Linked DNA regions of Diceros bicornis minor. The protein of the gene in region 3 interacts with the protein of the main gene of each other region in a pairwise test. Links are inferred from orthologs where the notes say so. Each region holds a gene or a part of one and is shown on either strand. Other genes may lie near its edges.

What was found. The genes of interacting proteins can lie anywhere in the genome.
Region 1: the proteins of DAXX (region 3) and TCF7L2 interact in binary tests that used the Homo sapiens proteins (3 or more experiments, as listed by UniProt). The link is inferred for Diceros bicornis minor from reciprocal best matches to the Homo sapiens genes DAXX and TCF7L2.
Region 2: the proteins of DAXX (region 3) and PARK7 interact in binary tests that used the Homo sapiens proteins (3 or more experiments, as listed by UniProt). The link is inferred for Diceros bicornis minor from reciprocal best matches to the Homo sapiens genes DAXX and PARK7.
Region 4: the proteins of DAXX (region 3) and ETS1 interact in binary tests that used the Homo sapiens proteins (3 or more experiments, as listed by UniProt). The link is inferred for Diceros bicornis minor from reciprocal best matches to the Homo sapiens genes DAXX and ETS1.

Annotation. Positions count from the first base shown.
Region 1 is NC_080745.1:76,493,980-76,501,516, forward strand, and holds the start of TCF7L2 (transcription factor 7-like 2), read left to right. Parts: upstream 1-4,518; 5' UTR 4,519-5,025; coding exon 5,026-5,214; intron 5,215-5,491; coding exon 5,492-5,558; intron 5,559-5,767; coding exon 5,768-5,892; intron 5,893-7,537. UniProt on the Homo sapiens protein: Participates in the Wnt signaling pathway and modulates MYC expression by binding to its promoter in a sequence-specific manner. Acts as a repressor in the absence of CTNNB1, and as activator in its presence.
Region 2 is NC_080752.1:27,789,694-27,796,818, reverse strand, and holds the start of PARK7 (Parkinson disease protein 7), read right to left. Parts: upstream 3,020-7,125; 5' UTR 2,947-3,019; intron 2,008-2,946; 5' UTR 1,985-2,007; coding exon 1,895-1,984; intron 494-1,894; coding exon 392-493; intron 1-391. UniProt on the Homo sapiens protein: Multifunctional protein with controversial molecular function which plays an important role in cell protection against oxidative stress and cell death acting as oxidative stress sensor and redox-sensitive chaperone and protease.
Region 3 is NC_080753.1:31,138,981-31,146,974, reverse strand, and holds the start of DAXX (death domain-associated protein 6), read right to left. Parts: upstream 3,008-7,994; 5' UTR 2,798-3,007; intron 2,594-2,797; exon of another isoform or gene 2,499-2,593; intron 1,631-2,498; exon of another isoform or gene 1,628-1,630; 5' UTR 1,579-1,627; coding exon 1,372-1,578; intron 1,228-1,371; coding exon 396-1,227; intron 284-395; coding exon 72-283; intron 1-71. Other genes in the region: SMIM40 (small integral membrane protein 40), read right to left, coding at 5,415-5,657. UniProt on the Homo sapiens protein: Transcription corepressor known to repress transcriptional potential of several sumoylated transcription factors. Down-regulates basal and activated transcription.
Region 4 is NC_080746.1:7,434,191-7,441,538, reverse strand, and holds the start of ETS1 (protein C-ets-1), read right to left. Parts: upstream 3,020-7,348; 5' UTR 2,959-3,019; intron 1-2,958. UniProt on the Homo sapiens protein: Transcription factor. Directly controls the expression of cytokine and chemokine genes in a wide variety of different cellular contexts. May control the differentiation, survival and proliferation of lymphoid cells.

The DNA.
Region 1 (7,537 bases), on a different chromosome or scaffold from region 3:
AGACTTGGCTTCAGGCAATAAAACGTCATAGCCGTATAACTGTAGCAAGCAAAATTTCTAGGGAGCAAATTAGGCTGAAAACATCTTCTAGAGACAGCTAGAAAGGAATCGTACACCACCCCAAAATAAGGCAAGTTATGCAGTAAATGTTTCATTTATTGGCCTTCTTCCATTACTATTAGGGTTAAAAGACATCTTATCAATAAGAAAGGGATATTTATGGAGGATTGATGTCTTTCGAAAGGCTGCTCCTGTCACAAATGCCTATCGCGGTAGTGATCAGCTTATGAAGGCAGGTGATGAAATCCAGTACAAATGCATACATCTCCCCATTAACCCTTAGATCATCAGGCATTATTGTCACTTTATTACCCAGACCTGTCATTAGCTGAAGCAAAGTGATCCAGCCAGGCACTTGAGAAAAAAAAAACCCTGTTCCTCAGGGTTTCCAGAAGAGGCTGTGTGCCTTTCCACATCTTTTGACAGAGTCAATGGGGGAAAATAAAAGGATGCCTGTGAAGTGGGCCCTTTTTGCCTACCCCTTCCTCCCGCTAAAATTGAAAACTCTCAGGGGTCCAATTTTTAGTGTTCCTATGTTGGCTAAGGGAGTTGCTTTCCTGAAGGTCCAAATAAGGAACCATCACCCACGCAGAACAAAAAGCAAACAGAAAATTTCACAGTGGAATCAGGACTTTGGCTTCTAAACATTTCCCCATTTCATAGCTTCCTTATATTTTCAGATTCTTTTTTTGGCTTCCTTCAGTCAGCACACTCCCTGCATAGATAAGACCAACACAGTGGGTAACAGATCATCCATCTTGGAGCCCAGCTCTTTAAAGAAAAATCATACGGAACACATATACACACACGTACGCATCACTGTCAAGGGTAATTTAGCAGAATCTTGCCAAGCGATCGGGGGAGCCGAATATGGTTGTCAACATGTATTCCCTACTTCTGTTGAATCTGAGCAGACTATCCTTGTTTTCCCTAAGTTCCAAAGCCAAACCTCCAATATGGCTCGTCCCCTTTGCTGGTGTGCCGGTGAACTTCTTAGCATAACTGGGGTATGGGCTGAATCTACGGAATCAAGGACTCTCTGAATGTTAAAAGAGACCTAAGAAAATATCAAGACCAATTACCTCACTTGCCAGGTGAGACAAGACTAAGGGGCCACAGGTGACGTGGGCTACCGCCGGCCTATTTCTGCTGTCCCCATCAAGCAACCTCCCATATTTCAGAGGGCACCCACCACTCTGCCATAAGTGCCCCATGGGGAACCGATGCCTGAAAGGTGATTTATATAAACCGACACTTCTTCTCACTCTTCAATAGGGATGAACAAGGAAGTACCCCTGGGAGAGATAACCCACTCACTTAATTTTTAAGGTAAAATAAGTTGTACACTGATATCAACACAGGTCCACAGAGATTTAATAGAGGGACGGCTGAAGGGGAGGAGAAAACAGAAGTGAAGAAGCAGAAGGGCAGAGGATGAGGAGGAGAGTTCGAGACCTGGGCTGGCCCCAGGAATGGGCTCCAAGGGAAGCAGATACAGCTTCTCCCCCATCCTGCCCACTTCCCAATATGCAAAACCCCTTGGCTCAGGCTAAAGTCAGGACTGGTCTGGCTTCCTCCCTTTGTTGTAGAGCCTCTGCTATTTGGGCAGAACTCTTGGTCATAAACCAGGAGTCATCAGTATCTAGAAAGAGAAGTAGCCTCAACACCTGGACACAAGCCAACTGTTGTTTAAAATTTCACACCAAATCTTCAAATTACACGTTCACATTGCGGGCCAACCTGACTTTTTGTTGTTGTTTAATATTATAGTACCTTGTTTTTTGCCAATTTCAGTTTCACACCCTCCCCCCGGTCCCCCACATCTTGGCATCACCTGAAGCCATTTCAGAGACTCAGGGGTTATTGACCCTCTGAGATCTTGCTGGTCTCCCCAAGCCTTTTTACTGCACAAAGCAGCAAAATTAAATGTGGCATGTTTGCTATCATGGAATAACTTTTAATTGCTTAATTAAATCAGAGATTTAAAGAAGGAAAGATTCGAGTTCCCTTTGAATGAGAAATATAAGGATACGCCAAAATGGATGAGGTTACTAATCATTAGGAAGAAAGCCCTTAGTATTTACATATGATAAAAATGCAGACCAGGACATTAAAAGCAATAAGTACACTCTCTACAGTTTCAATTCCATCTGTTTATGAGCTTTTATTATCCAGGTAGTCCTATGAAGGACAGAGAAGACCTCATTATCCAGCTTAATTCAGATCAGGGTTAGATTAAAAAAAACACCACCGCACAGGACAAAGAAATTGCCGTAAAACTGAGTTACTATAAATGTGTTCCAGTTTAAGTAAATAAGCCCTTAAAACGGGCCTTAGGAAAGTGTACACTGTACACAGACAGTCTCAGGCACACTAAGTATACAGGTGACAATTAGCAAGTATGACAAGCTATGGGCATTCACCAAACGTGTAAATCTAAAGGCAACTGAGTGAAAAGATCCACAAAAGGGAAACTGTTAAATCCATTTGTACATGGATTTAACAGTGAAGCATTTCATTCTTCATGTTTTTACTTGGTGTCTTGAAATAATCCCCTTTCTGTCTCCACTCTCCCTCTTAGAAACTGTGCCTGCCTTATTTATTTATGAAGTCTGAAGGTTAGTTCTACCTGCTGAGACTAATTAGCCTTGTGCTTTGTATCCTATGCAATCCTGTCTGAGTAAATGTACACATTTGTTTTACTTTTCAGACTCTTTCTCGCTCTACTTCTGATTTTCCGATTAATATTAAAGTTGGGAGTTACAGTGAATCTCCTCTGTGCCCCCCCCCCATTTTTATTTTGCCTGTATCTTTCTCTTTAATGTGCAAATGTGGTTGTGAATTTTTTCCAGTGCAGGGGAATTCACTGGCCTTGTCAATCTTGGTATCATTATTTTTAGTAGTCTTCTTTCTGAGACCTTAGCCTATAAAACAGTTTTGCTGAAACCCCAAACTCTCTAAATATTACATGGTAAATTTCCTTTCTTTTGGAAACCATAGGTGCTGATGGGCCAGCTGAAAGGCAGGTGAGATTTTTTTAGGCATGGGTGGGATAATTTAGTACATCATGGACTCAGGACCAACACTGTTCCTAATAGACAATTTGCTAATTTCTATTGATTTCTTTTTTCTGATTATTTTTATCCACTTTTCATGTGGTAGTTTCCAGTCCACTTCTCATTGGATATTTGCAAGAAAATGAATGTTCTTGCTCCTTCATCCAGGGACATTGTGTTTTGGGAGCCAGGCCTTTTACCCTTTCACATAATTCTGTTCCCCATTTTGTAGCAAATCAACTTGCCCCCCAGGCGAGTGCCTAAAAATCAACAAAATACCTGCCTCACAGCCCAGGTTTTCCACCTCCTCCTTGAGGTCTCCCAGCATCAGCTCGGTTAGCAATTTCCTGCCGGAGCCATCTACACCCTCATCATGTGGTCAGTCTTTCGGGGATTTCATCTCAGACCCCCTTCGAGAAAGACTCCAGCACCGCTGATCCCAGGGGTCGGTGAACTTTCAGTTTTATTTTCCCTGGCGGTGTTAACGCCCAAACTTTTTACCTCCAAAGTCTGAAAGGACTTTGAATCCTCGCTCATTTCCTACCACCACCAACGTTAGTAAAAAAAAAAAAAAAAAAACAAACAACACTCTACACTGAAAGAAATCATGTATTTTTCCTTAAGGATATTTTTAATGCCTTTGACAAACATGACAGTATTTGATTGTTTTTGGATAAAAGTCATCTTGGCATATTTAGTCTAGTGAGATTGAAGATTTAATGAAATGATTCACTATTAATAAACAAGAAGGGGAGGGAAGATCTTGTGGGTTAATAGTTTCTTTCACTGCAGATGACCAGGAACTTTGCCCAGCCCTCCACTTCCCCAAGCTCTCTGAAAGTGGAGGGTTGCTCTTTCTTCTTGACCACTTCTGTTCCATCCCGCCCAAGGGTGGCTGATTTCACTGCTGGATTAACCACTAAGCATCCCCCGCCCCTACTCTCCTTTTCCCCTTCCTTAAGACTTATTTCTAATATTTCCAAAGTGCACTTTTTCTGGGCCTCTCCCCATCCCCGCCCCCCAAGTGGGCTTTCCTTCCGCCTTCCCCGGCTCGGATTCCTGCCTCGGTCGCCACCCCTTCCCCTCCTCTCCCACTCCGCATTGTCTTTCTGAAGCCGCCCCCTCCCGGAGCGAGTCCCGGTCCCCTCGCCCAGACTCCCGGGCTCGCACACACTCAGCGCAGGCCGCTCCCCCTGCACTCTCCTCCCTCCGTCTCTCTCCCCCTCGTCCCCCCGCCCCTGTCCTCCTCCTCCTCCTCTCCCTCCTCCCTCTCCCGGCGCCCGAAAGGATCATTGTTAGCCGCCCCCGCCCCGCCCACCCCGGCTGTTTATTATGCGCACGTCACCGGGACGGCCCCGCCCCCCGGCATCTCATTAAGCGAGTGTGTTCCTCTCGCCCTGTCAATAATCTCCGCTCCCAGACTACTCCGTTCCTCCGGATTTCGATCCCCCTTTTTCTATCTGTCAATCAGCGCCGCCTTTGAACTGAAAAGCTCTCAGTCTAACTTCAACTCACTCAAATCCGAGCGGCACGAGCTCCTCCTGTATCTTCGGCTTCCCCCCCCTTTGCTCTTTATATCTGACTTCTTGTTGTTGGTGGTGTGTTTTTTTACCCCCCTTTTTTATTTATTATTTTTTTGCACATTGATCGGATCCTTGGGAACGAGAGAAAAAAGAAACCCAAACTCACGCGTGCAGAAGATCTCCCCCCCCTTCCCCTCCCCTCCTCCCTCTTTCCCCTCCCCAGGAGAAAAAGACCCCAAAGCAGAAAAAAAAGTTCACCTTGGACTCGTCTTTTTCTTGCAATAATTTTTTTCGGGGGGGGCAAAACTTTTTGGGGGTATTTTTTTTTTTTGGCTTTTCTTCCTCCTTCATTTTTCTTCCAAAATTGCTGCTGGTGGGTGAAAAAAATGCCGCAGCTGAACGGCGGTGGAGGAGATGACCTAGGCGCCAACGACGAACTGATTTCCTTCAAAGACGAGGGCGAGCAGGAGGAGAAGAGCTCCGAAAACTCCTCGGCAGAGAGGGATTTAGCTGATGTCAAATCGTCTCTAGTCAATGAATCAGAAACGAATCAAAACAGCTCCTCCGATTCCGAGGTAGGAAAAGCCCCTCGGGCTGGTGGGGTTTTTAATCTATTTCCTGGGCTTGGCAAATGTTGCTTCGAGGGGAGAAATCCGGGCCGGGGGCGGCGGCGGGGCGCCGCGGGGCCGGGCGGGCGGCGTGTGCGTGCGGTGCCACCATTGCAAAAACTTGTAACCCTGCTTTTCTCTCCCCCCCAAATCCCCCCACCCCGCTGATTTCTTTTTCTCCCCCTTCTTCCCCCTCTGCGTGGCGTTTGCCCCTCGCCCTCCCCACCTCCACCCCTCCGGGAAGGCGGAAAGACGGCCTCCGCCTCGCTCCGAAAGTTTCCGAGATAAATCCCGGGAAAGTTTGGAAGAAGGTGAGTACGCCCCGCGCGCCCCGCAGCCGCCCGGAGCTGCCCCCCGGGCCCGCCGCCCCGCGCGCCCCGGCCCCGCGCCCCGCTCGGCCCGGCCGTGCGCCGCCCGGGCCGGGGCGCCCGGCCACTTGGGGCACTTTCTAAAAAGTTTCTTCTCGCTCTCTCCCGCTCCGCGCGGCCGCTGCCGTCCCCTCGCCGCCCCGCCATGTTAGCGGCCAAGAGGCAAGATGGAGGGCTCTTTAAGGGGCCACCGTATCCCGGCTACCCCTTCATCATGATCCCCGACCTGACGAGCCCCTACCTCCCCAACGGATCGCTCTCGCCCACCGCCCGAACCGTAAGTGCCTCCGCGCCCGGCCCCCGCCCGCGGCCCGCCTGCCCAGCCCCGCATGCGGCCCCTGCCCTGCCCCCTCCTCCCCCTCCCCTCCCCTCCCCTCCCCGCCTCCTCCCCTCCCCGCCTCCCCTCCCCCGCTCGTGGCCCAGGCAGCCCGAAACTCTCCAAACTTTTCTGCCTTTTGTGGACTGGATTTGTTTGCACTTCGCCATGTTCTTGCTTTCAGTTTGCTGCCTCGTGATGTTGGGGAGATCTTTCTTTCCAAGCACGGCTTTGTTGGGGGAAAAAAATCAGAAGAACTTTTTTTTGCGCTCTGATTCCCCCCTCCCCCTTTGGTGGAGTTGTTTGTTTCTTCACCCTGGGAAGATGACTGTGTGGCTCTTTCTTTTCTCTCTCTCTCCCTCTCTCTCTTCCTTCCCTCTTCTGTGGCGTCTTGGGCTTTCCTCGGTTAACCCCTTGGCTGCCGCTGCCGGGGACTGAGTGGCTGGGCTGCGCCCGACGCGCCGAGTAGAGAGTGATTTTCCTCCAGGCGTTGGACTTGAGAACTAGCGAGCGCGCGGAGCCCGGGGCCCTGGAGAAGCGCTTCGGCTTTCTCTTTCGGCCGGTTATTTATTTAGCTTTCTAGTGGCGATCGCTGGCTCTCAGCCCTCCTCCCCTTTCCCTCTGGAAGGTCACGCTTTCCAGACTGGACCTACTGCAAACTTGGGGGCTCTGGGCTTGCTTTTCTTTGGCAACCCCGCAGGCCGCGAGCGCCCTGGGCGCCGTGGCGGGCTCGGCTGCCCGGCGCGCAGACTGCGGGCTCTCCCCGGCCGCGCTGAGTGGGGAGGCCCCTGTGGCCGGGGTTCTTGGTTGGTGTGTAGCAAGGATGGCCTCCTCCGGGCGGACTCGATGTATTTCTAGGGAATTTTGGTGCCTTGGGGTTTATAGTGGGGTCTGCGCTCGCCAGCTTCCGAGAAGGCCTTCAGTGGGCCGTGGGGGGCCAGAGACCAGGGTGTGCGGGGCCTAAAGGTGTGTAGAAGTTATGGGAGGACAAGAGCGGCTCTCCTTCAAGGGAATGGGCTGCTGATCGCGGGCCACTCAACTTTGGGGCCCCCAGGGCAGCGCGGGGTGCCAGGTTCCGGGGGCTCTTCCCTTAGTTTGCGTTCCGCTCCCAGCCCTGACATTTGTCAGTAAGGCTCATCCCCTTCCCCGATCGGCCTGTGCCCCCTGCCCTCGCCCTGAAACCCCCTCCCCCGTTCCAACCCTCCTCTAAAAAGCCTGGATTACGAATCTCTAGACGTTTGTCCCCGATTTCCTGGGATTGTCATTTTGCACCTTCTCTGGTTTGGTCCCTCTACCCCTTATTGACACGCACCACTTTTGTTTTTTCTTTTTCGGTAACTCGAGATAGCAATTTGAAATAAGGCCCCCACTGTTCAGCAGCCGTGATTCGGTGCTAATGGCCGAGGGTTTACCGGACGGGAGTCGATCAGATCTACAAGTGTTTTTTAAGCATTAAAATATTAACTATCAGGTTTGACTTGTTTTTTGGGCCCTGGCAAAAAAGGCAAGGGCATGCTAGACCGGTCATTTTTTACGGCTAGGAAAGAAATAATTATTCCCCCCTCCCCTGCGCCCAGGCTTCTGCATGCTTGGGAAGCTAGGAGAG
Region 2 (7,125 bases), on a different chromosome or scaffold from region 3:
AGAAAAGGTAAAAAGCTGCTTTCGAATAAGAATAAGAAACGAACAGGCAACGTTGACAGTTGCTTCTCTCATATCAAGTAACAAAGCTATACCAGGAGGCAAGGCTGCTTGTGTAAGCCAGCAGAATCCTGATGGAAGTGTCCTGTCCACCCACCCACCCACTTACTGAGCACATGCCGTATCAGGGAACTGCCAGGTTCCATGAACACAGGGTGGAAAAGGCAAAGTCCTCGACTGCCCAAGGCTCAGTTTAGTGGGGAAGACATCTAAGCATAGTAACTTTCTTAAAATAAGTCTGTGCTAACCACAGCCTTAGATGCAGTCAAAACACATTTCAAGAAACTGATAAAAAAGCCACAGGAAGGAATAATTCCAAGTATGGAGAACACACCTGTTTCCTTGCATCTTCCAGACTGGCATCAGGACAAATGACAACATCTCGGCTACACTGTACTGGATCTTTTCCAGCCAGACCTGCAATGGTGACCTTAATCTAAGAAAAAGACACCATCATGATATTTAAGAATACAGAAACATAAATTTAGAGTAACACTTCACAGCTGCCCTGTGTTTTAAAATAACTTGGCAGGAAATACTGCAACAAAACCATGCTGACTTTAGCTAATAAGTTGGCTAAAGATATTTAATAACTAGGTCTGTCCCAGTCTGCCCGGGAGAGGACTGGTTTACAGATGCTGCCTCTGCGCCCTCTCTGGTTAGTGTCCTTTCTCCCACAAGTGTTCTGGTTTGGGCAATAAAATATATGATCATCCTATTAATAATCCATCTTGCAAAGTTACTGCTGCCATTTAAACCTTATGGTATTTTCTTAAAGCAGAATTGCAAGCTAAGAAAATATACTACTTTTTCCTCACAAAAAAGTTGACAGTACCAAGAGCCAGTACTGGACAAACTGGCATTTCCCTACACTGCTGATGGGCCACACATTGGTACCCTGGAGAGTCATCTGACAAAATCTAGCAATGCCAATTATGGACCATCCTTTGGCCTAGCAATTCCATTTTTAAGCAGAGAGCCTGGAAAAACTTCCACAAGTTTGCACATGGCAACTCGGACAAGAATATTACAGTATTGTAATATATTACATTGTAACGTAATACAGTATTGTAATACACAGTGTAGTGAAACAATGTAACAGAAGAATGGACTGTGGGCATGTTCATACAGTGCAACACTAAACAGCAATTTTAAATAAACAAACTGGATCTATATGTATCTTCACTTATGAGAACCAGAGGAACGCTGGGTTAACAGACTCCGGGGCCAGACTGCCAGGGCCTGAGTACTGCCTCTTCTACTTACTAACTCTACAGTGTGGACACTTTATTTGGTGTCTCTGTGCCTCAGTTTCTTCAACCATAAAATGAAATGGCAATAACTCATAGGGTTGCTGTAAAATTTAAACAAGTTTATATAAGTGCTTAGAATGACACTAGTACGTGCTATTGTTCACTATGGTTACATACACATATACAGATATATAATATAGACATGCAAAATGAGAACTACACGCTAATACTACTTTAAAGACATGCATGGAATGGATACACTTCAGTGTGAGGATGGCAGTTATCTCTGGGGCCAGAAGGAGAAAAGGATTGGGGAAATTTACAAAGAGGGCTTTGCAACACTTTATTTCTTTAAAGCATTTGTTCTTCAAGAAATAGGTCTGAAAGAAACATGAGAAAATGTTAACAAGTATTAAATGCAGACAGTGAATAAATAAGTAATTATTATTATATAGTCTCCATACTTTTGTGTACATTTGAAATATTTCATAAAGTACACTGACTACGATTTTATTCAAAATGATTTTTAAAAATCCAAGAATGTTTTAAAAGAGAGGAGGGCTAGAAAACGTTGAGGGACTTACTCCAGCTCGTCTCATGACATCTACAGGGATGACGGTCTCCATCTCCTCTGCCCCTTTAGCCAGGATGACCAGAGCTCTTTTTGAAGCCATTTCTATGCTGTACTTTTTAAAGACTTAATAAAAAATAATTAAAAAAAAGATTCTCAAAAAACATTCACTGCAACCCTGGAAAAGCCAAAAATTTTAAGTTTAGGAATATTTTTAAGCAGAGTAACTAAGTGCCTCCTAGAGAAAAGGTTCTGATAGGCAAACACAACTGAATATGAAAAATGCATTTTAGGTTAATATTGGCTTACGTAGCACAATTTCAAATGCTGTCTTTTTGAGATGAAAACACAGTAAGGTTGTTAATGCGTGTTAGTGTTGTTTAGATTTTCTTTTACCTTGTTTTTTTAAAATTCAATTTTTAATAATATATTGTAAATGAGGTTTTCTAAAACACAAGTTGCATTTCACACAATGCGGGGAGACAGCCTTTCTTTGAAGTACTATTTCATAGGGATGCGACTGAACTAAATTTCACGGGCAAAAAACTAAATACACAGTTAGCAATTAGCCTGTAAGATTTTTGGAGGGGATTTTTTTTAGTTCCAATAACTATACTAAAAATTTGGAGGGAGTTAACAGTGTTAAATATTTGAACACTGTTTTTTTTAATAATGGAGAGAGATGGGAATCCCCCTAAGTAAAGGCAACCCAACCAAATTCCCTCTCTTTGCACTTAGCTCTCATCGTAAACGAAAGCTGCTAAACCAGGGTCTGAAGAATTTTTAGACTATTTTCTAGAATTGGTGACCATGCAAAATGGATTTTAATAAATCCACTTCAACAATCACAGGTTTAACCAGCAGTTCCAAACTGCTGGGACGCCATGTACACAATTCTGGAAGCTTCAGAGCTGCTGCTACGCTGGCAAGAGAAAGCCGCACTCGTACAGCCCCGCGCGGGGTCGGGGACCCGCCTGAGGGTGGCCCCCTCCCAAGCCCGGCGCCCCCTCGACCCACAGGGCCACCGCCTGCGCACGCGCACGCTCCCCTAGCCCCGACCCGAACCTAGCCTCGCCTCCCACAGACGCGGGCCCTCGTCTTCTGCGCCGGGACTGGGAAACCAGAAGCGGCCTACACGCAGACTCACGCAAGCACGCACGCGTACCGCACTGCGCAGACGCAAGCCGCCTGGTTTCTCATCCCCCCACACTGCGCAGACGCGCGCTGCCCCGCCTCCCTCATGCCCCCAAAGTGCGCAGACTCGCGCCGCTCGGCAAGGCTCTTCAGTGCCGCATTGCGCAGACGCGCGCTGTCCAAGCGCTCGTTGCCCCCCGCCCCCCGCACTGCGCGGGCGCATGCCGCTCGCATCCGTGACGTCACATCCGGACGAACCCACCTCGGAGAACCGCGGGGGACGGCCTGCCATTGGGCCTCCCGATTGTGCGCTTAGGATGGTTCCAGTTGGAACACTCAGCCCCACGAGAATCCCGTGGACTCACGCATCCTCACGAAATCTCCCCCCCGCGAGTGGCACGGCCCGGCCTGCCCCCGGCGCCCGCGGGATTTACCCCGTTTTTTTTTTTTGCCGCGGCCCAGTTGCGCAATGCGCGTCTCGAGAGTGGGGTGGCTTGCTGTCGACGTGCGTTTTCACGTATTGGAGTTGTTCTTTCACGCTTCCTCTGTGCACTTCTGTCTCCCTTTGCATTGTTCCTCTTTCCTCGTCACCTTCCCGCGTCGCCTCCGCTCTGTTAGGACTCTTTCTCCAAGGTCCTCCGGCCTTATCTCGCCCACGCCCGTCCCTCGTTTTTGTGAGCCTCATCAGTTACGCGCGGTAATTGCACGTGCATTCGTTTCTCAGAGTTGTTTTTTTAAGGATCTCAGTGCTGCTTCTGCGTCCAGTTTTAGCGCAGTGCTGAGCACATAGGTCTAACAAGTACTTGATTAATTAAGTTCACCGAAATTATAATCTCAAATTATATTTTTAAAAGTATTTGAATATTGATACTTATCACTAGTTTCAGAAACCAAAGTGATAAGTGTTACATTGAACAGACGGGCTCCTAGCCCTGTCCCCATCCAGTTCCATCCCCACCCCCTACAGATAACATTATTAGTTTCTTGGGCATCTTTCCAGTATTTCTTTATGTAAGTACAAGCACACACAAATATGTACTATTATGTTCCTTCTTTCTCATAAAAATATAGCAGTCTGTATACATTGTTCTGCACTTGCCCTCCTGCCGCCGCCACCACCTTGTTAAGTGAATATCTTGGAGATCTTTTCATATCAAAAAGAACTTCCTCCCCCCCCCCATAGATACTATGGTATTGTAGGTATATTCCATACTTTACTTACCGGTACCCTACCGATAACGGGTTATTTCCAGTCACTTTCTGTACAGACAGCACTGTGCTGAATGACATTCATCTGTCCTTGTGCAGATATACCTGGAGGGAAAATTCCCAGAAGTGGGAAATACATTTGAGCAACTCCATACAAGTTGAATCACTGAGCACTCTCACCGGTAACACATGAGACTAGTATTTTACAGACGTCAAGTGTTTTTAAAGTTTCAATTTAGATATTAAAAACACGTTTATTTTCAAGAAATAATGTTATTTTTGTTGGTTTACAAAGTACTTTCGTATATCTGATGGGATCCTTACAATGGTGGTGAGAGCGGTTTTTATTTAATTTTAATAATTGTAAATTGATTCATTTATGCAATAATCTGCACTTGTGCAAAAAATTTAAATGTCTTTAATCATTTCCCATTTTAAGAAGACAACGTTTTGGGAGTCTGGAATGACTTCACCCTTGGCTGTTTGCAAAGGAAGCAGGCAAAAGCCACCCCTTTTTAGCTTTGAAAGAGCATGGGAAATAGGAGGGCCAGAGAGGGAGAGGAGGCAAGTGGTCAGATATGTATTTCAAGAACCAAAGAGGGATTTAGGAAAAGCAAGAGAAGACAGGCTGTTTTGCTCTAGTCCTCACAATAAACTCTTGTAAGGAAACAACCATGCTGGTGGCCTGCTGCAGCATGAGACAGCCACAGCAAAATAAAAATGGCAAGACTGATGGTTCAGCAGCAAAAGAGAGAGAGAACGAACCTGAGTTAACACTCCTGAGACATCTGCATTACCATCGAGATCTGAAATGGACCTGTCAGCATTAATTTTTATCAAATGAATCCATTGCACACGGTTTTAAAAACTCAAATGTTACTTATGGTAGATTGGATTATTTTTCAGAAATATTCACTCTTTCCTCTTCCGCCTGCGGGAGTGGAGGGTACTCCTGCCCTTTGACTTTGGGTTTGTCATCCTTGTTTTGGCTAATGAGATGTTAACAGACATGACCTGATCAAAGCCTTGAAAAACACTGACATGATGATTAGGCTTGCTCTCTTGTACTTTTGCATTGCCATCTTGAAAAGGAAGAGCTTTCCCCCAGGGAAGTTGCTGCTGCCCTTTCAGCCTGGGTTTCAGAACTGACACGTGGAACAGAGCTGCCCCAGTCAACCTGTACCCGTACCTGAAGCAGATCATCACAGCCTAAAGGCAGACTGAAGTACTCAGATTTTGTTACACAGCAGTAGCTCACTGATACAGCATTAAAAGGCTCATAATGAAAGACAGCAGCCTTCTAACTCAGTACTTTCTACCCCTCAGCCCTGCTCTCCAGAGGCAAATATTTTCAACTCTTTAAAGTATTTCTTACGGTAATTATCTCAGTATTTTTCAACAATATGCTAATTTTTAAACAATATGCTAATGCTGTACATAAAAATATTTTTCATCTGTTGGTTTTAGACTTTATATATTGACTTCCTGGCAGGTATTAACATAATTTTTATTTCACAGATGCAGAGGTTGAGGTCCAGAAGAGTGAAATGACTGTATAAGGTCCTGCAGAGTCTTGGTCAAATTCAGATATTCTGATGCCAAATTTCACACTCTACCCACCATAGATTCTATCAGTATTGCTTATTAATAAGTCAGCAACACTCATGACAGTCTCTTAACTTTAGAGTTTATGTCTGTTTCTCATCACACATTTATAGAACAAAGCCAAAAATTTAAACCATTTACCAGAAAACACTGACACTTCCTAGTTCAGTCCCTTATTTCCAGGTAGAACCACCCCATTCTGATCCACTACATTTTTAATTCAATATTTGACAAGTCTTTAGGCACTGTGGGAAGTACAAACTAAAAGACTATTTTCAAGGAGCTTAAAATCATCAGTTTCCGGCAGCAGTTGGAACATTTAATTAAGAGATGCTGTTCTGCTTTGTAGAGCTCACAGTCCAGCAATGGAGAAATGCTGTTGATAATGTCAGTGAAGGAACACAGGACATGCCACCTCCAGATATGCCACCTTAGCATACTGATTATTTTGAGTTAGAGGAATTTGGAAAACAGCGGGTTCAAGAAAGGCACTCTGATTCCCATTTTTTTTCTTCCTGAAAGCAGAAGATGAAACTTGCATGTGAGAACTGCCCTCCCTATGCCAGGAGGAAAGAAACATTCTTATCACCAGAGAGGGAGTTGAGTCTGGCAGAATTTGTACAAAGAGACCTTGTTAAAGTAACTCGCATCATCCTTTAGTTTCTCCATTTTATTTTAGATATTTTTCCACAATTGCCACTTTTTGTTCAACCCAGTATATAAGCATTTGGGTTTTGCCACTTTGAGGCTTTATTTCCTTCTAAAGGCTCCCAGGTCATGGTAAAACATATTAAATATATTTATATGCTTTTCTCCTGTTAATCTTTTTTATGTCAATTTAATTCTCAGGCCCAGCCAGAGACCCTAGGAAGGTAGAGGTAAAGTTTTTGCCTCCCCTACATTAGCAACAGCAGCCCCATGGCCCTTCTGATCCTGGTCCCAAAAAGCAACTCTGCCTAGAATTAGCCTGATCACAATAAATAGCAAAGAAACTGCTGCCAGATTATTAATTATTTTTTATGGGTCAGATATCTTGCATTTCATCTTATTAAGTAACACTCGTTTTCTATGAATATATCCTTTTATTTCATTGATAGCAATTATTTTAGCATTTTCTTTTGTTTAGTTATTTATTGTCTGTCTCTCCTCAATCCTGTGAACTCCATGATAGGACCTTCCTGTCTTGGTCACTGGAGAATCCCTAACATCTATTGCAGTCCCTGGCACATAGCAGGTGCTCAATAAATACTTCCTACCCTAATTTCACCCTCTAGGATGTTCCTTCCTCTCGTATAG
Region 3 (7,994 bases):
TCACCCTGGACTCCCTGCTGGCCAGTGCAGGGGAAGGACAAGGTCTCTCTGAAGGGTGTATCCCTCTATACCTCACCAGAATCCAAGGAGGCTTTGGGGGGGTCTGTAGGGTAGGAAGAGGTAGCCTGGAGCCGGGCTCTTCTCTTCTGTCTTTCCCCCTCCTCACTCTTGTCTTGCATCATTGCATATTTGGAGATGACCTCATCCAGCCGGCTCATAGCCAAGGTCCGATTTTCCCGTAGGCGCCGGGCTAGGGTGGGATCTGACAGTGCAGGGTCAAAGCCTATGTGGGAAGATATAAAGTGAAAGTACTCAGCCCAAACCCTAGAAGGGACTAGAGAGATGCCTCCTCCACCACACACCTGACATATAATGGGCACCTCACTAATCCCTACCTGGCCTATAGTCATCCGTGAGGTGACAGCCAAAGTTGTAAATGAGATCGAGGTGGCGTCGCTCCTGCAACCTGACGCCCACATCTCGGAAGGCATCCTGAGCCATGAGCTGGAGCTGCTGCCGGGGGAGGCCGAGGCTGTGCCGAGCAGCTGCCTTCTCCACAGCCCGCAGCACATCTCCATAGTCAGGGAAGGTATCGGGCCCTGGCTTGTTGATGAGCCGCTCGATGCGCCTGTTAACCTCTGGGTAGCGGGTGCCCCGATAGGGGATGCGCTGCTCTATGACCCGGCCCGTCAGTGAAGAGCAGTCTTTCAGCTCACACAGCCTCCCAAAGAGGCGGATCAGCTTCCGCTTCAACCTCGCCTCTTGCAGGTACGTGGAGTCGGGGTCGTCCAATTCTGACAGATCCAATTCCTTTTCCTGCAGCCGCCGGATCTCTGCCACGTAGAGCGCTAGCAGCTGCTCCAAGCGCTGGATCTGCCGCCGGGAACCATGGGTCCTTGGGGCCTCAGCAGCAGTAGTCTCGGCATTCGCGGGGTCCGAGGTGGGGTCTGTGGGAGGGCTATTCCCAGAGGGCTCGCTAGAGGTGTTGGCAGCAGGGGCCAGGTTCAGCTTCTTCTTGGCTGAGTGGGCCTTGAGAACAGTGCAGAGCTCATTAATGTAGACATAGAGCTTAGCCGGCCGGCTCTTGGCCCGAGACAGGACCCGAGAGAGGATGTTGCAGAACTCCGCTGAGGCCAAAAACAGAGAGTGGGCCCGCTGCTGCCGGTTATAGAGAAATGGGACCACCTCAGGGTGGTCTGCCGTCTGCGTCTTACACAGTTCAAGGAACTAGAGGGTTCAGGGGAAGAAGGGAGTGGGGAAGAGACAAGGGAAGGGATCAAGAGAAAGGTTAGTGGGGAAGAAAGGACAGGAGAGCCAGTCAGCCATCCCCCTCCCTGGGGTACAAGAAGAATCTTCTCCCCTAAAGCTCACCTCTTCAAACAGCTTCTCATTCTCCAACTTGTAGCATTTCTTGCCGCCCGAACTACTGCTTCCTCTGGCCCTATGGGGCTGGGAGGAGCCAGGGGCTTCTGCCCGGGGTGAGGCCGGACTGGGGGGTGGGTGGGAGGGCCCTGGCTGAGCAGCTGCTTCATCTTCGTCATCATCATCCAGCACGATGATGCTGTTAGCGGTGGCCATGGGGGATCAAATCCCCAGGAGGGAGGAAGTGTTGGGGATTTCGGAATTCCTGCTGGAAGGGGGTGGGGCCTCAGAAAGAGCCCCTCCAGCACAGCCCCATCCCTTCATCTCACACATTTTCCAATCTTCTTGGGTTTCAGTAACACCCGGCCCTGCCCAACAGTCTCCTCACTGCCTATCTTGAGCAACCATTGGTACCATATGCTTTCTGGCCGTTTACTACGGGAGCCCCACCCCCAGCTCCACCCCTCAAGTCGATATCCGGTCTTTCTGTTGCGTTTCCCCATTATTTGTCATAGTTGGCAAGTTGATTCCTCCCAACCCTGGACCACCCTCCCCACTGCACTCCAGATTTCCTTGACATCCCCTTGCACAGACACCACACCCCCGTCGGCACCACCTCACGTGTTTTCCCCCTTTCGCTCTCAGACACGTCAAATCCACACCCTCACCCCGTCCTGAAGGATCACCCCAACTCCTAGACTCTCTCAGGAGAGGGAGGTTCCCTCCCAAAAATCCACTCCCCTTTCTCCTACCTGAATTATCTCCATATTCTACCCTCTGATAGGTCTCCTCAAACCGGGGCGTTAGGTTGGAGATATTTCACCCCAAGTCCCCTCCCTCTCACCCCACCCTAATTTTCCCCATTCTCTCTCTGTGACCTGTAACCGACTGTGATCACCGCACTGGGCTCTCCCGATTCCCCTCGGATCCCAACCCTGGGTCCAGCCCCTCCCCCCTGGATGAGCTTCCCGCCAAGTCCCCCTCCCCCAGTTCAGCCCCCGGCGCCCCACTCCCCTTCAGAGATAGGAAGGAAGGTACCACAGCTTGCCCCTCAGACTCAGCGCCCGGGACTCCCCAATACCTCTCCCTCGACATTCCCGCCCCTGCCTTCGCTCCCCGCACGGTCCGGCCCCCACCTCAGAAACGGTCTCTCGAGGCGACCCTCTCCGCTGATCTCAGAACCTCGCATGGTTCCCTCCGCCTTCCTTCCCCCTCCCACCGCAGGCCCTACTCTGGACCGGAAGTCGCGGAGCTTCCGCCTACAGGTACCCGACCGCGGCCATATTGTCGTACGGAACCCAGCCGCTCCCGCCCCCCGGGCCGGAGGTGACGGTAGGCCCGTCCCCCGAGCGCCTCCCGTGCCGCCCACCTAGTCTGCGGCTCCCTTCCGGACCTGTAGGGGGCGGAGTCGTCCTCGCAGGGAGTCCCGGTGTACGTGGGGGCCGCCATTTTGCCGTACGGCATTGGCTGAGCTAGGACTTGGGCGCGCAGCCAGCGGAGCTATTTTCACCCAGTGCTTCTGCGACTCCGCCAATCAGAAACTTCCTGCTTCCGGCCCGGCTGCCAGCGAGTTGCGTGCGGGGAGCGCTGAGCCCCGTTTCCAAGCAGGCGGGGAACGGAACTGGACAGCTAAGGAATTGGGCCCTCCAAGGCTACACAGGGGTTCGCGGAAGGGCAGGAGTCGCTTAAAAGGGAAATAACCTTTTCCTTCCGCCAGGCTATAACCTTTCCTTTCCTTCCGGCTCTGCCTTCCTACGGTCAGGTACCCACTTCCACGGCTTAACCGACTGCGCCTGCCCCTTCCCTTCTACGGGCTGCGCGCTCCCTTGCCGCTGTCCAGCAGCTACTTCTCCGTTCAGGTGCCTACATCTCCCGATCGTGAAATCATAACACACGCATGCAAACGCGCTATACAATGTGTTGTTATTATTATTGCTATTGTTGTTGACGTCTTTTCAAGCTCCTCCACAGAACTAACGACCAACAAGCCGGTGGGACGTAGGTGGGTCTCTGTCCTTTTCTCAGGGGTTTCCCCGAGGCATAGGCGGTGATAACCAAGAGGCCGTGCTTTGTCCAGGAACTCCAGGACCTGAGTCCAAAAGATGTGGGACGGGGGCTTTGAGGAGAATCTGTGCAAATTGCCGCTGTGAGACGAAATCAGGCTCGTAGAATACCTCGGGTCTCGTCTCCTCTTTCTCTGGGAGAGCTGAGGGAAGAACGAAGAGAGAAGAAACCGACTTTGATGCCTGCCTCGCCCGCACCCCCACCCCGCCCAGCTTTAGAGAGGCTGGGAGGACTCGTGAAGGCAAGGCTGGGTCCAAAGGTGAGCGTATGGGGAAACCGGAAAGGTTAACACGGTCCTAATCGCTGAGATTCCCACCTCCTGCATCCTTGCGCATTCCTAAGTGGTGAGCATCTTGCCACTTTCTAGGATCACAGAGGCTCTTACATCCCTAAGCTCTCAGAGTCCCAGAACCTCAAACCCTCCCTTCCATTAAAGAATCCCACACCACTTCTCTCCAGTCGTCTAAGCCTACAGTCTTTAAGTTGGGGAACATGAAAACTCTCCAAAGGGTATTTGGGCTTAGAAGATAAAAGGGATTTAATTTCCAGATCCTCAATTTTCCCAGAATTGGTCTTCCTGAATAAACGCCAGCAGCAGAAGTTCTTCTTCTTCCTTTTCCCTTTTACAATAGACTGTCTCCCCCCACCCCACCCCCACCCCACCCCCACCCCCCAAAAAATATCCTTCTCAACCATGAAATCTCCTGGGGATAATCTTACCTTGTTTTTTTTTTTTTTTTTTTTTTGAGGAAGATCAGCCCTGAGCTAATATCTGATGCCAATCTTCCTCTTTTTTGCTGAGGAAGCTTGGCCCTGGGCTAACATCCGTGCCCATCTTCCTCTACTTTATATGGGACACCGCCACAGCACGGCCTGACAAGCAGTGCGTCACTGCTCCCCGGGATCCGAACCTGCGAACCCCGGTCCGCCACAGCAGAGCGCGCACGCTTAACCGCCTGCGGCATTGGGCCGGCCCTTACCTTGTCTTAAATAAAGAGATATGTAGTCTCTTTTATCAAGGCACCGTAAACACCACCTCGACTATCTCATTAAAAATGTACTTTTACTTTTAACAATTACAGAAATGTGTACAATCTTTATGCTATTTGATCAGTTCTGTTCTCATAATAATTGTAATGATAACCTAGAAGAAATTTTTTTGAAAACTAGAGTCTCATGGTTACAAGAAAGAAAAACGTTTTTCGTTTCAATTAATATATATATATACAGGAAAGTGTGATAGATGGGTCAGTGAAGACTTTCAAGATAAAAGCATAAAATTGTCTGTGGGGAGGTGGAATGGTAATAGAAGTTCAAGGAGAAAAGAGAATGATGAAAGAAGAAAAGAAATCATTCCCAATTGTTAAGAGCTTATTTGTGTATTTTTAAATGGGTGGTGGTGGGTATCAAGTCATTCTGATATTTCAGTTTCCCTGGACATTCAAAAGGGTGGTTTAATTGTTTTATTTTAAATTATGAATATTTTCAATATGCCAGGAATTACATCCTTGAAACAATTTTAATTTATGATGAAAAATTTTTGATACTTACTTAAAAATACTTGAAAAGTACAAACTTTTTCAAAATTATTTCCTGGAGTATAGGTGCAGAATTTTTTTTGGTGAGGGAGACTAGCCCTAAGCTAACATCTGTTGCCAATCTTCCTCTTTTTGCTGGAGGAAGATTGTCGCTGAGCTAACATCTTGGCAATCCTCCTCTATTTTGTATGTGGGATGCCACCATGGCATGGCTTGATGAGTGGTGAGTAGGTCCACGCCCAGGATCCGAATCCACGAACCCTGGGCTGCCGAATCAGAGTGCCCAAACTTAACCACTATGCCACTAGGCCGGCCCCTAGGTGCAGAAATCTTAAGACAGCTGCTCTAAGCTATCCAAGTGTCCCCTCCACAGCTCCTAATAGTCCCATTTCTTCCCGTCTCCCCTCTCACCTCTGTGGCAGGGAAAGAGGATGTTTATAGGAAAGGTGGTCACAATTCCAGCTCCTCCTCCTTCTGAGGTGTTCCCAGCAGCCAGTCCCCAAACTTTGCCCATTGTAGCGGCCACAGCAGCTTATAAACAGCCTCTAGCATCAGTAGTGTCAGGCTGAGGGCCAGGAAGATAAAGAAGACCTTGTCCAAGGCCTGACAGAGTGGACTCCTGGGAGGAGAGGGCCTCTGGGCAAATGCCAGGAACACATCCTCCTCGTCCACATTGCCCTCCTCCTCTGCCATCCTAACCCACAGTGTAACTGCTGGCTGGACCAGGGAGGCTGAGATAGAAGCCCTTGCTCAGCAATGCCAGGATTAAGAGGCATGGTGGCAGCAAGTCCTGCACCGGCTCAGCTTGACCTTAATTCCGCCACCCAAGAGAGAAAAAGGAGAGTAGAGCCTCTGAGCCTTTGGAACAATCATATAATCATCCAGTGCAATGTGAATGGTCTGGACTAAATGATTCCCAGTCTGTCCAGCTTTACCATCCTATAAGTCTGTGTTTTGGAAACTGAAGGCCCAACATAGAGGCATGCAAGCTGGAACTGCTCAGGTCATTGTGGGTCTCTAGGCTCAAGGCTCAAGGTCTTGGGCCCCTACAGATAGAGGATGAGCAAGCAGACCTAGTACGCTACTGTGAGTCCCTGTCAGTCAAGGATCTAAAGCCCCTTCCAGCTTTATAGTGGAGGGGAGGTGGAAGAGGTTGGGGTTTTGGGAGGGGCTCTCCTAACCAAGGTGGGTGGGGATGAGCAGCAGTGCCTGGAGTCCACGCAGGCGCAGGCATAGTACTCCCCCAGGTCTGCAGGCCCGGGAAGTTGTGGAGCTGAAACCCAGAGTGCTCTCTTTCTAACTTCCGGTCCCTGTGGGGTAAGAGGATGATCATAATTGGACTGTAAGAGTCCAGCGGGAGGTTTTTAAAGAGAGAAAGACTGATTGGTCAGCAGGGTGAGGGTGTGTGATTGGAACTTAACTGTTGGGGCAATAATAAGGAAGAGTGAAGTTTTGCGTGTGTGTGTGTCTGTGTGTGTGTGTGTGGAGGAGGCGGGGGGAGGGAATTCTTTTTTTGTTTGTTTGTTTTGGTAAGGAAGATCAGCTCTGAGCTAACATCCATGCCAATCCTCCTCTTTTTGCCGAGGAAGACTGGCCCTGGGCTAACATCTGTGCCCATCTTCCTCTACTTTATATGAGATGCCACCACAGCATGATCTGACAAGCGGTGCATCGGTGGGGGCCCAGGACCCGAACCGGGGCCACCAGCAGCAGAGTATGAGCACTTAACCGCTATGCCACGGGGCCGGACCAGGGGGAAGGGAGTTCTGATCTGAGAGTTGCTGGTGGGAAATGTCCAGGAGGTTGTCTGTGGGGCAAGGCTTGAAGGCCGTTTCTTTCTTTTTCTTTCTTTCTTTTTTTTTTTTTTGGTGAGGAAGATTGGCCCTGAGCTACCATCTGTTGCCAATCCTCTTCTTTTTGCTTGAAGAAGATTGTCCCTGAACTAACATCTGTGCCAATCTTCCTCTATTTTGTATGTGGGGCGCCACCACAGCATGGTTTGACGAGTGGTGTGTAGGTCCTTCCCTAGGATCTGAACCCAAGAACCCCGGGCCACTGAAGTGGAGCACCCGAACTTAACCACTGTGCCACTGGGCCAGCCCCTGAAGGCCTTTTATTGACCCTGTTCACCAGGCACTGGCCTGAAGGTCCATGTGAAATTTAATAAAGGGAAATCTCATTTAAAATGGAGTCAGGAGGCCAGATGGGGGAGCTCCCAGTAGTATCATTGGAGGTCAATTACAGAAAAGATAATCAATTACAGACTCTAACAAAAGGAAGTCAATAGGAAAGAATCTTCAATTATAGGCATAAATGTACATTGCATCCCAAACAGAAATCCACTACCCCCAGCAACTTAGCCAGTGAGAAGCCATCACCACCCTGAACTCTTGCTTTTCTCCAATGGACTTTCCTTCAAAACAACCCCTCTCAATTTTCTCCTTTTTCTCTATAAAATATCTTTCCTCTGCCTTGTTTGTTGGATTTGCCTATGGTCCACCACAGCATGCACATCCTGGATAGCAATTCTTTGACTATTCTTGAATAAGCTCGTTTTGCTGGTAAAATAACCGGCTGTTTCATTTTTAAGGTTACATCTGTGAAGGAAATCAAAGCCCATATGGAGAACTGGGCCCCCAGGATAAGTAGTGGTGGTGGTAGGGTAGACAGTGAAAGAAGTGGTGTGTATGGTAATGGACCTCATACCTAAACTTCATTTTGACCTTAATAGGAAGACCTTGTTTACCCCAAAAAGGTACAAACGATGTCACAATTTTGCTTAGAGTCAACTCATCTTATCATTTGCTGCTGCCACAGGTTGTCGCATAACGAGTCAAAATATTTGGATCAGGGTCCTAACTAATCATTTATTAGTTGTGTTAAATTAATTAAACAAGGAGGCCATTAGACTGAGGAGGCTCTAATGCCACAGCGACCAACGTAAGCAAACCAAACCTAAACCTATAAATGCCTCAAGGTTATGAAATCAAAACACTAAAGAGAACCAATCACAAACAGCCAACCAGGGTT
Region 4 (7,348 bases), on a different chromosome or scaffold from region 3:
CTCACACCCCCCAAAGCAAGGGTGGGCACAGAGTAGAAATTCAATCAGTATTTGTCACAAGAGGGATTGAGGGAGAGATTTACTCATCCACTCAACTGGACCTTCTGGCCTTTCTTCAGAGTCAGTATCTTTCTAACAATGAATAATTAATCCACAGATTCCCTTTTAGAAAATAGGCCTAATCCATAGTATTCTCCCAGATAAAGCAAATCATCAGTCTGAGCAGAAAAATCCAGCCTAAATTTGTGAAGTGTCTCAAAGCTACTGGGGCCCCTAGGAGACACAATTCCAGTCACAAGCTCTGGACTCATATTCCTTTGGTTCTAATCAGGTCCCACCACTAACTAAGTTGTTCACATCACCAAGCCTCAGAGTCCTCATCTGTCACATGGGGAGAGCAAGAGTGCTCGCCTCCAAGACTTCACTGTAGGCTAAATGGAGTAGTCCGTGCAACGCACCTCGCAAGGGCCCTGGAACACACCAAGTGATCAGTAAATGCCAGGGATTATTACTCTTCCTCAGGTGAAGTGGAGAAAACCAGGTGTTATATCCAGAGAATCATCTAGATTAAACGATTGAGTTCCCTAAAGCCACATATCCAGAAGAGCAGGGACAGCGGAGATGAAGAGGCAAAAAATGGGTTGCCTTCATATCTGTTTCCCCAGGATTGAAGAAATTCACAAGATTTGCCTCAAATACCACTAAATTGCTGCATACCACATTTATTTAGCTCAAATACTAAATACTTTTTGATTTCCATAAAGAAGAAAGAAAGAGGGAGAGAAGAGGAGAGGAAGGAGGGAGGGGAGAAGAGGAGAGAGGAAGAAAGGATGCCCCAGCTTCTGCAATGTAACCATTCCTTCTGCTGTTTGGTGCAGAAATGGGAATTTTGAATGGGTAATTAGAATAGGAGAGTTGCTGTGGAAAACAGATTTGTTCACCAATAAATAAAATCAGGAGGTACAGCAGAAATCGAATTCTCAGTAAGACATTTGGCAGTACATCAAGGCTCTGTGCGCAAAGAGAGACATGTCAGTGCCAACTATTTGTTTCCATAGCATTTATTTCATTTGTTTGCCTTCTGCCTCACCTTCCCCTGGGCACCTGACCCACACACCCAATTTTACAATATTACTTCAGACTGTCCCTCAATCCTATTGACACTTCTATTCTTCAAAGCTCTACGCTATTTACTTCTATTCTCTCATCTTCGTGAAATAGGCGAGGCAAAAATCATTACTCACATTTTAGAGATGAAGAAAATAAGACACAGTCATGTTAAATAAGTTGTTCCCAGTTACAAAGCCCATCTCTAATAGAACCCAAGTGCACATGCCTTTTCCCGACTCCAGCTACAGTGCTGGTTCCAGTTCTGCCCCTGCTCGCCTTTGAACTCCATTATAATCTGAGGCAGGCAACTGGCCCAGGGCCACACTCTCAACCAGTTCCCCAAGGCCACAGACAGGCAGATGTGGAAGAGCTACAGCCTTTGCCCTCCGCCAGGCTCTACTCTTGGACCTCCGGGCGCCTCTACCAACTAGCACCTTGGAGTAAGGAGCCTGTAAGTCAGAGACGCCCTCTCTGTAATCAGACTCTGGGCTTCTCACATCCTCAGCAGCAGAACCAGGACGGAAGAGGCTTGTGTGGCTGCCTTCACTGTTTGTTTTTTCACTACTGAGTTGGCAAGGATGGAAGTTGTTGATTTACAATTAAAAGCAGCATGCTTCTTCAAATATTAATATTAATAACTACAATGCTGAACACATGAAAAGGTCTTTTCATCTTCAAAGCACTTTGCAGACATTAACTCATTAGCTCTCCCTTCCCTCCATTCAGGAACAACAGGTAAGGAAGACTCTCAACAGCAGTGGTGGCCACCCAGTCACCGTCTGTGAGGAGCCCATGCCTGCAGAGGCAAAGGGTTTTCTCTTTAGGTAAACAGGAGGCGATGTAATTCAGAACCATAGCCAGTGAAACAGTCGAAGTGTCAATCATTTCACAAATCAAATGAGGCTGCCAGGCTTATCATTTTAGAATCTGTATTTCCTGTTGTTTAACAAATATCTCTCTTCTCAGTTGCCCAGTAATGGTATGAAGTAGGAAAAAAAATGGCCAGGAGATGGAAAAAAAACAACAACGATAACTTACCCAAAAGGTAATAAGGAAAACCTACATTCAAATGCCTGGATCTCGGTAACCCAGCATCTTTTTGAACAATTCTCCCACATGAAATGCTACTTTAAAAGAGGGTAACAGAGGCGTTTTAAGAGTAGATGAGAAGCCACCGACAAAGTGGAATTGCTGGGTAAAACCACGGGGGCAATGGCCACGCACAGCCCCGCTTTTCCACAGCACGGCTGCTCGCGGTGGACGGAAGAAATGCGCCCCGACTCGGAGACTCCCCCGTCCCAATTGCAGTCTGGAGGGCAGGTAGAACCTTGGAGAACTGTGGGTCACAAGACAGAGAAAAACACCAAAAAGGCTAGTTTGGCTTGCAAAATTCAAACCTGTAGCAATGTCCTCTCTATAAAAGAAATTCCTTAAGCTGCTAGGGAAAAAAAGAAAGAAAAAAGATGTAAAACAATAGGTTTGCTAGGAGGGAAAGAGAAAAAAAGAAGGAAATTTCTGTGTTTAACTATAGCTTTATTCCTTTGGAACTGCTCCAACATGCGAACAAAATTCAGAGTTTCTGACAAGTATTCTGAAATATAGAATACTTCAGGGGAAAGAGTGAAATATAGTCTTGATTTCAGATGATTCGAACTAGGCTAGGAAGTATTTTTGAAAAACGTTATGAAACTATTGAATGGAAATATAGAAAAATGTGGAAAGAGAAAGAGAAAACCGCTTGTATCCTGAAGGTCCCCATCAATTTACCGATTAATTCCACAAAATGAAAAAAAAGGGAAAAGGAAGATGGACTGCAAAGTTTTAGGCAGAAACTCACACCTCACTTACTACTTTGCCGGAGAGACTGGGTGAAGAATAGGTCCTGAGTGAGCTTCCCTCAAGGTCTGTGGTCTCTTTCCTACTACCTGCGGGAATCCTCTGCTCCGTGGCGAGAGGATGCAAAGACCATAATGTTTCTAATAGAGCTGCCTCCTTAAATTGGGGGGGGTGTGGTCAAGCCCAGGAAAGCTGGAAAAAAGGCAGTGTTCCGCCGGCCCCTGACACCACGAAGGCAGCCACTAGGACAGGCTCTTCAGTCTACATGGAAAAGCAAGTAATGTTACTAGCTGAGGTAACACCAAATCACACCTTAATTTCTGTCATTCAAATTATCCTTCAATTAAATATAAGTCAGCCCTGGGAGTAACGGGGAGGGAGACAGCAGAAGGGAACCAGCTCAGTGGGATAACACTGAGTCTCCTCCTTTGCTGATGCATTAGATTTACTCTTGTGAATATGTGAATATTCATGATTCACATTTCTTGACTTTCTCAATGCAGCCTCTTTTAACCTAGGCAAGGGGTCAGGAGAGGGCGAGGACTGCCCTAGAAACAGGCAGGGAAGGCCATCGGAAAGCAGGATTCTACCACCCAGTCACCTGCCCAGGCTTCTTGTTTCTCTCTGTTAACCTGATGTGAAATGTAATATTTCCTAAGGAAAAGAAAGGAGTCATATGGAGGGGAGCTGACCAAATAAGGAGTTGGGATTTCTGAAAAGTAAAACTAAAATACACTTTTCATTTAAGTCTGATTGTAGGTGACCTCTAAAATAAATTAGTTTTGGGGCCCTGATTCATAGTCTATGGTGCAGTCATAAAAGGCAGAAATCTTCATACATTCCTCACTTAGAGAAAATGTAAACATGTAAAAATCTAGCATCTGTTCTAGGTGAAAACGTACAGCATCTTGTATTCACATATTCAGAACCATGGTACTGAAATGCTACAGTGTAAGGTCACCTCTACGAACAGGGTTATTTCACTACAGAAGTTTTTTTTAAAAAGTCAGTATTTGGCTTCTTAATTTAAGACTTTTATCCTGAAAGATTCTATTTTCTTTGAGGAATAGACGGGAGTTAAAATTTGCCATGGTTGACTCCTTTCCTTTTCTAATGAAAATAAAATACTCAACTTTGAAAGTCTATGAAAATCTAACAAACGTCACTCAGAGCAACATCATCATTATCCTTCATTGTATAAAGCTGGCAGTGCAGTTAAGATGGTGGTGTAATTAAAACAAGATTTTACTGCTCATCTTTTGCCTTTGCACAACAACACGGCTCAGAAGAAAGGAAGAGATAGTACTATTGGTTCAGTTTTGTTTAGTAACCGTCTGCGCCGGACACTGTGCTAGGCACTAAGGAAATAACCAGTTCACACTGTAGTGGGAAGACAGACACATAAGCAACCATCTCAACAAAGTGCAATGCATGCTGTGAGCAAAGTCTATGAGGAGAGCACAGAAGCTTCAGCCTGCCCGCTATGGCCTGGTCAGTTCCAGCATGCTGCCCCATTTAAAAAGCCCATGCTCAATTAAACCAATCACAACTAATTATAATTGTATTCATTATGTTTGCAAGAGAATTAAAAAAACAATGTAGAGAAGACATGGATTCTTGCCCTACACAGGTGTCCACTGTGAGGACTGACGAGCTCTGGAGTCGGGAGTTGTCTACGTAGAGTTCACGTGTCTACAGTTACAACCCATTAGCACCTTAGCTCCACCCTCTGCCACTACCTATGAGGGTGTTGAAGAAAGAAAGCCAGACATCTGAAGAGTGCAAAATAAGCCACCACTGCTGGAAATTGTCTAGAGAATGCCCAAGAAAGCAGTAAATTTTGTTTTAAACAGTATCTTCAAAACTATAGCATGAGTATCCACATGCAAAAGGATGAAGTTGGGCCCTTATCTCACACCATAGACAAAATTAACTCAGAATGGATCAGCGACTGAAACTTAAGAGTTAAAACTATAAAATTCTTAGAAGAAAACAAAGGAGGAAACTCCATGACATTGGATTTAGCAATGATTTATTGGATGTAACACCAAAAGTACAGGCAACAAAAGAAATATAGATAAGCTGGACTTCATCAAGATTAAACACTTTTTTAGGGGCCGGCCTGGTGGCACAAGCGGTTAAGTGCGCATGCTCCGCTGAACGGCCCAGGGATCGCTGGTTTGGATCCCGGGCGTGCACCGATGCACTGCTTGTCAAGCCATGCTGTGGCAGCATCCCATATAAAGTGGAGGAAGATGGGCATGGACGTTAGCCCAGGGTCAGTCTTCCTCAGCAAAAAAAGAGGAGGATTGGCAGATGTTAGCTCAGGGCCGATCTTCCTCACAAAAAAAAAAAAAACTTTTTTACATCAAAGGTCACTATTAAGAAAGGGAAAAAGCAACCCACAGAATGGGAAAAAATATTTGCAAATCCCTGATAAGTGATTAATATTCAGGATGTATAAAGAACTCTTACAACTCAACAACAACAAAAAACCCAAATAACTCCATTAAAAAATGGGCAAAGGGGGGCCGGCCCTGTGGCGCAAGCAGTTAAGTGCACGCTCTCCGCTGCGGCGGCCCGGGGTCTGCCGGTTCGGATCCCAGGGGGGCACCGACACACTGCTTGATAAGCCATGCTGTGGCGGCGTCCCATATAAAGTGGAGGAAGATGGGGATGGATGTTAGCCCAGGGCCAGTCTTCCTCGGCAAAACGAGGAGGTTGGCAGATGTTAGCTCAGGGCCAATCTTCCTCACCAAAAAAAAAAAGGGGGGGGCAAAGGACTTGAGTAGACATTTCTCCAAAGATATATAAATGCCCAATAAGCACACAAAGAGATGGTCAACATCACTAACCATTAGGGAAATGCAAATCAAAGCCGCAATGAGATACCATTTCACACCTATTAGGATGGCTATTATCCAAACCAAACCAAACGAAACAAAACGGAAAATAACAAATGTTGGTGAGGATGCAGAGAACAGAGAAATTGGAACCCTTCCACATTGCTGGTGAGAATGTAAAATGGTGTAGCCACTATGGAAAAACAGTATGGTGGTTCCTCATAAAATTAAACATAGAATTACCATAGGATCCAGAATTCTACTTCTAGATATACACCTACAAGAACTGAAAGCAGAGACTCAAAGATGTATCTGTACACCAACGTTCACAGCAGCATCATTCACAACAGCCAAAGTGTAGGAACAACCCAAACGTCCATCGATAGATGAATGGATAAACAAAATATGGTATATTCATACAATGGAGTATTATTCAGCCTTAAAAAGGAATGGAATTCTGATATATACTACAACATGGATGAACCTTGAGCATAGTATACTAAATGAAATAAACCAGACACAAAAGGACACATATTGTATGATTCCACTTATATGTGGTACCTAAAATAGTCAGATTTGTAGAAATGGAAAGTAGAATAGAGGTTACCAGGGTCTGAGGAGAGGGAGGAATGGGGAGTCAGTGTTTAAGAGGGACAGAGTTTCTGTTTGGGATGATGAAAAAGTTCTGGAGATGGATGTCTTGATAGTTACTTAATGCCACTGAACTGTACACTTAAAATGGTTACAATGGTAAATTTTATGTTATCTATATTTTACAAAAGTAAAAAAAAAAAAAAATACACTGTCCTGAAGAAAAATATGAATAGCATTAGGGTTAAGTAGGCCATGCACAGAAAGAATGCTTTCTGATGCATGTGAATGGTACAGGACACGGGAAAATGATCCTCCCAAAGAAGAGGTGTCATCTCCTAGGGAGGAGCACAGGACCTCCCTCTGCTACACAGAGCCATTCGTTGTGTCATCTGTCACAGACTGGATAACAATACCAGCCAACTTCACGAGGTTGTTGGGATTACTGTGTAATTGGATGATTATGTAAACAGCAAACTGAAAAGGCAATTCTGGTTGTTCTTCTCCATGGTCTCCAATATTAAATTCTATAGAGAAGGACCTCAGTTGAGATGTCTATATATTTTAAGATCCTCAAGAAAAAAATCTAAAACACAGTGACCTAGGGGACATGTATACCTTTTGGCTCCCATGTGAAAGAGTTAGGTGAAGAGTTGTTTGCTTCTCTGAAGAAGTATTGCCATAGCCCAGCCCAGGATGATAGTTTCAATACGGTATAGGCACAGTTAGAATAGGGCCTATGTGAATTTCTAGAATAATTACCACCAAGCTCTTTGCTGTTCTTACTGTAAAGAAATCTTTTTCCTTTTCTTAGCATAACAAGCTACACTGCAAGTTAGTATCTCCTAAGAGGAAAAATAAGAAGGTGAATTTCCAGAATCTTAGCCTCACAGGGGTACTCAACCCTTCTACAATCACCCTTCCCTCACTCCCACCTCAACCCCCCAAAATGCAGGAGTCCCCTTCAC